Kluyveromyces lactis: one gene and its partner. The protein of the gene in region 2 interacts with the protein of the main gene of each other region in a pairwise test. Links are inferred from orthologs where the notes say so. Each region holds a gene or a part of one and is shown on either strand. Other genes may lie near its edges.

Evidence for each region.
Region 1: the proteins of ATG20 (region 2) and RRN10 interact in a two-hybrid assay, tested with the Saccharomyces cerevisiae proteins (2 studies listed by BioGRID). The link is inferred for Kluyveromyces lactis from reciprocal best matches to the Saccharomyces cerevisiae genes ATG20 and RRN10.

What each region holds. Positions count from the first base shown.
Region 1 is NC_006042.1:1,161,448-1,163,705, reverse strand, and holds RRN10 (Rrn10p), read right to left. Parts: upstream 968-2,258; coding exon 590-967; downstream 1-589. Other genes in the region: NCL1 (tRNA (cytosine-C5-)-methyltransferase), read right to left, coding at 1-340; EMP24 (Emp24p), read right to left, coding at 1,900-2,258. UniProt on the Saccharomyces cerevisiae protein: Component of the UAF (upstream activation factor) complex which interacts with the upstream element of the RNA polymerase I promoter and forms a stable preinitiation complex.
Region 2 is NC_006041.1:817,188-821,009, reverse strand, and holds ATG20 (Atg20p), read left to right. Parts: upstream 1-1,270; coding exon 1,271-3,181; downstream 3,182-3,822. Other genes in the region: TRM3 (tRNA (guanosine(18)-2'-O)-methyltransferase), read right to left, coding at 1-915; KLLA0_E09153g (short-chain dehydrogenase/reductase), read right to left, coding at 3,307-3,822. UniProt on the Saccharomyces cerevisiae protein: Required for cytoplasm to vacuole transport (Cvt), pexophagy and mitophagy. Also involved in endoplasmic reticulum-specific autophagic process and is essential for the survival of cells subjected to severe ER stress.

The DNA of each region.
Region 1 (2,258 bases), on a different chromosome or scaffold from region 2:
GATGTTCCGGGTACCATGGCAAAGCCATTGGTGGCTTAACCACTTCATTTTCCCAAGTAACGTTGGTCAAATTGGGTAGATGGTGTTCTTGGAACAGTTGTAGTACTTCTTTAGAATGTTTACGAGAACCAGTGATTCTAAAAGTTAAAGGTAATTGCGACTGGCAAGTCTTCTTAAACTGGTCCCATTCTTCAACTGGGATTACACCTAAATCCTTGTAGTAAGTTTCCCATTTCTCGTTTTCCTTCACTAATTCAGTCCAATTCTTTTGGTTGTTGGAGTCATCACGAGTACCAAAAGTCTTTTTTGGTCCCTTCTTTTGATTCTTTCTTCTAGCCATTTCTCCTGCTTGTATGTTGCACTAGTTCTGGTAAGAGAGAACCGAATAAACCCAACAGCAAGACACACAAGACCGTATCTGACAGGAAACAATGCTCATCTCATCGCATCATCAACGGATTCTAATTTTCACTTTTTCTTTTCTTCAAAGTCTCGGAAAATTTTCAAGTCACGTGGTATGTAAATAGAGAGACTGGATCAGGTACACAATGGAAGGCATGTAAAACACACACACTAAGTAGTATTACCTCTAAATATCAGCTGGTGAGTATCTGTAATTTATATCCTTGCTAATCTGTTGAGAAACCCCTTCAGACACGGATCCAGTTTCCGGCAGCACTAAGTAATCTTCGATCCATTTCTCCAATAACCAACTAATTGTGATGAGACTGGTCTCATCGAATCGTTTCACTAGATGCGGGTACCTTTGTAAGATGAGTTGTGTCAAAAAGTAATGCACCACTTTCGTATCAATAGTGGGTAATCTCGTTTGTAATTCGTCTCTAGTCAATAATGGGATTGGAACGATATGGTTCAACCTTAAACCAAGGCATTCATCCGGTGAAAGAATTGATCCATTTGGACCTTTGACGAGGTTATGGCTTGCTTCATATACGTTTGCGTTCATTGGAGGTATGCTTTTGGAATGCTAAATGGCTGTGTATAGTATGAACCGGGGAAACAGAAGTTGTTGTAGTTATGTGCAATTCACAATTTTTTAACATAGTGAGATAGTTCAAATTTAAACTAGACAAACAGTGCAGCTTCGCTGGAGTATTTGTTGAATGATGAATCAGTGCACGACGCTAGCCATATAACATACTTCTAAGTACAGCCAAAAAAAATGAAGGACAGTGTATGTCTGCCTCTGAACCCACACGCACTGCTTAACCACGGGACGTGCAATCCACACCACCTCGTCACGGGCAGTGTTCGTTGTGCTGGATGAGACTCCCCTACAACGTTAAACACTAAACTAGCTTCAAGTATTAGTTGAAATGCTAAATCGTTACCAGTTGGGCTTCGAACCGCAGACTTCTCATGCGACCGAGCCACCACAAAGGATAACCCGCAACAATTTTGTAACGGTGGGACACGTCGACCACGTGACAACCGAACCGAGATCCAGCTGTCCAAAGCAGTTACACAAATAAATGAACGCGTAGACCGGGCGGCCAGACACGAAAAGCGGGTAATGGCATATAACCACTACGAGACATTTCACGCCTGTTTGGGATACCATTGTGAAACCTCTTCCATTTGAAAGAGACCCGGTGTGACTGTGCGGTTTCGAACCGGAGCCACATATCCAAGCATCACACTCCTTCGACAGGGTGCTTTCTTAAACATATTTGAGGAAAAAAGAAGATGATAGCAGATTGAGGCGATCACGTGAAGGTTTTTCTTTATTCAATTTCCAGCCCTAGGGATTACTCCTCTAATATGATATACTTATGCGCTAGAGGAAAAACCTGGATATACATATACACATATTTTTACTTTGAATATACACGACGACTATATCTGATATACTTCATGCAGCCATGCCTTTCGTTTTACTTACACATACGAAGTGACTTCGAAAAATCTCTTCAAGTAATAGATCTGGAACAACGAATTCACTACAACGACGAGCAATTGGAACACAGACCACCATTTGACACGGTCATTAGTGGATTCTGCTGTGTTTCTGTGAGTTCTTTCTCTGATAATAATGTAACTTTGTTCGTTCTTCACTTCTTTGACCAGTTTGGACAATTGTCTCACTGAGCCGTCCAAAGATCTGGTGTTTGGATCATCTAAATCGACATAAATAACACCGAAAACATTGAAAGTCACGTCCTTAGTGTCAATGTTCGAGTTTTCATTCAAAAAGCAGTATTGGAACTTGCCGGTGTATGGAGCGTTCACAAACACGT
Region 2 (3,822 bases):
GATAATATCGGTTAGGATGGGTAAGTTATTTTGAGCAAGTAATTGGAGACTCAACTTCATGATAGAGAGCACAATTTTCTTGATTTCATGAACCTCCTGGTTTAGTCCGGATTGTATTAAATTCCAGTAATCTTTTGATTGGGCGAAACTTTGACTTGTTGTTGAGAATCCATCCTCCATTAACATCCTTAAACAAAAGATATAGCCATTTTTTGCAACTGTGATTGGTGCGCTTTCGGTAAGCAAGTTACGTAAAAGAGACCATACGGTTATATCTAGTTTCTCATCCTCTTTGCAGGCTGTAGCGAACGATGGGATCCACCATTTGAACAAAGAAGTCGCCGCATTTGAAAGTTTCTCATCCTTCGATAACGAAAGTAAAAAGAGTAGCTTTCCAATGTTGACACTGTTGGCGATGAGGTCGTTATATGATCCTGAAGCGGACCCTTGAACCAACACTTCAAGAATGTCTAGCAGTTTTGTTCCATCTAAGATCAATCCGTCATCGAGCGAGTTAACTTGAATAAACCCAGATATTCTAATCAGTTGTTGACATTCAACATCAAATAGCATTGTTATATGCGAAAGGATGAATGAGCTCAAATGGGAACTTAGAAAATCATGCATAAATTTATTGCTTTGCTTTAGCTTGGGACAAAGCTTAAGCAATGCAATTAGTTGTTGATCTTTTTCAACTCGCAAACCATCGTCATCATTGACATGTTTAGCGATTACTTCTCCAAGAGTGATAGATAGTCTATTGCCAGTGTTAATGGAGACATCTTCTGTTAGTTCAACCGAACTTAGCACCGAACTAATACCTTCATAATCTTCAGTTTCAATGAGTGAGGAAAGAATCTCTTCTTGTACTGAGGGCGAGATATACCTACCCAAGATTTGCCTTGAGTGGCTCATTATCTGATATAAAAATCCTTACGTTGAAATCAGGTTCTAAAACTATATACATTCCCATAACATGTAATTAAGTTTATCTGGTCTCATCGCATCTCATCTGGTCAGATCGATTTAACTAACCGTAATGGTATAAATGATTTTTCAAGATGCATGTTGATGATGAACAATTGGGCTGCGCCAGAAAAACTTTGGGCCCCGAAACACGTATTAGAAATCGAGAAGACTGTTACCCGAACATGGCAGTTAAGTTACAACTTGTTGACATGTAAAACGCCCCTTATGAATTGACACGAACTTCAATATGAGTAGATAAAGGGTTGAATTAGGAGCATATGAAGAGCTATTTAGTGACCTTATGCAGATAAATTTTGAACCAATGCCGAATTCAGTAACGCATTTAGAAAATAACAGTCCTTCAAGACTTAAAAACAATAAGACTGTTGAGGAGCATAAGGAGCATGAACCTGATTTACAGACGCAGAGCGAGATGAGAAGGGAAAGCAACGGATCTCCCAAAGACACTGCAGTCACGAACCAGAACGGTGATCAACCTCATGAGAATGTAATACATACCCAGATTATCAAAAAGGACAACCCATTTTTCAACTATATGCAGGATAACGTGGACGGAAGTGATGAGAATGGAAAGAATGATGACGATGATGAGAATGCCAAAAACGCCGGAAGTGATGATAACGAGGACCAGCTTCTTCAGCCAAACAGAAGAAAAAATAGTAAGGAACGGCGTAGGAGCTCAGTAGCTACGAGTAAGGATAGTTCGCCAGATGTGCCATATAATACCTTAAACCATAACGCGAGCGGGATGACAAAAGAAGGTAAGAAAAGGGCCCAAATACTCGAGGCAAGTAAAGTATCCGAAGGACAGGGAAGAACATATATCGCTTACGCTATCAAATATGGTGATTCAATTGTGAAGCGGCGTTACAGCGATTTTGAGAGTTTGCGGAAAGTGTTAGTTAAGTTATTTCCAATAAGTTTGATCCCGCCAATTCCTGAAAAGCAATCACTCAAGAGTTACGGAAAAGCAATGACATATTCTAAATCAAGTTACCTATTACCAACGGAAAGCGGAGACTCAGTAGATCTTTCGCTATCAGTAATTAACGGACCGGTTACCACGAATGATGAGAAGCTCATACGGCACAGAATCAGGATGCTTACAAGTTTCTTGAACAGACTCTTGAAAAACCAGGAAATAACAAAGACTTCTATCGTGTACGACTTTTTGGATCCGAACAATAAAAATTGGAACGATCTAATCACAAGCTCTCTTACTATCTCATCATTACCGAAAAGTGTTCTTCAGTGCAATCCAATAGACCCTACAAACACTACAAAAGCACATTCATATTTGCCAGTACCGTCATCATCAACACAACTGCTGGCATCAAAGGACAATCATTCAGCTTCGGACGCTGATGAGTTCACTAAAATTGAAGCGGAATTCAAAAATTACGAACAATTGATACATTCTGGTTTGTATAAATACTCAAGAGCTACTACCAAGGAGGTGAACTATTTACGGGAAGATTTGAAAGGAATCAGCTCTGAGTTTGCACAATTGTCAACTGACGAAACAAAGAACGAGAGTGGACTAGCAGAATTACTTTCACACTCCAGTGATGCATATGGGACTCTGCAAGAAATTCTGGAAACTCTTGTCGGAAATTTGCATTACAACATTAATGAGCCTCTTAGTGAATGTGCCCACATGGCCACTGCTGTGCGGGATTTAATTCATTATAGAAGGTTAAAGTTGATCCAAAAAGATATCTTAGAAAGGACAATACTTTACAAGCGAGGTCAACTCATCAAGTTCCAACAGCAAGAAAACGACCACAAGCAAATAGACAATATGGTAAAGGAAGAGCTTGGTACAAATGGAGCAGTGAATCTAGAAAACCCTGCAGGACCACAAAGCTACTCTGGAAAATTCATAAATAAGTTTACCCAACTTGCAATCATAATTAAGGACTCTGTCAGTTATCAGGAACAAGATCCTGCAGCAGCTGCAAGATCCTTAGAGAAAGAGTTGATACAACTAGATGAAACATTGAAAGTTGCTACTAGTGATCTCGTCGTTATTTCTGAAACTCTAAAGAATACTGAATTACCAAACTTCATTAAAGAACGTGACGAAGAATTGACTCAAATCTTTAAGAATTATGCGAAATATATGAAGGAGAATGCCACTAGAAATCTTGAAATATGGAAAGAGCTACATAATCGCATTCAGGAAGCATAATCAGCTTTTGAATTAACAGATTTTTTTGAATATATACATTTTACATATATGAATTCCACCCTCCCGCGTTTAGATTCTCAACAAGAGCGGCATTAAGGAACGGATATTCATAAACGGCAAAAGTTTTATAGGAAGGGGGATAAATATTTGAACATCTGATACCATTGCCAATCCAATTCTCTTAGAGCTAATTTGAAATTCGTCCTCATCGAGTATCCCTGAACACCTTGTCTATTATGAAAGATAGCACTGAAAACAGTTTTAGCCGTCGTCATATCCTGGTGCGGTTTAGAATTAAGAGCTTTACCAAAAATCAAAAGTAAGCAGCGAACTCGGCCGTTGCTGATCAAAAAATTCTTCTTATATTGCTCTTTCAACGTCTGTTCAATCAGTTGGAGTAATTGAAACTTCGTTGCTTGTATGGCACCATAAGAAGACTTATTTTCCGTAGTGTATAAGCCTTCCGTTGAAGCAATGTCAATTATATAACCGCGATCGTACGCTATCATTTTAGGTAAAATATGCTGAATAATATGCATGCTGCCCGCATACACTGTTCTCATTAACTTTCTCAAACTCACACCTTTCCCCACTTCGGCGTCAGTAAAACTTTTCAAGGAAACCGCATTGATAAATACAGT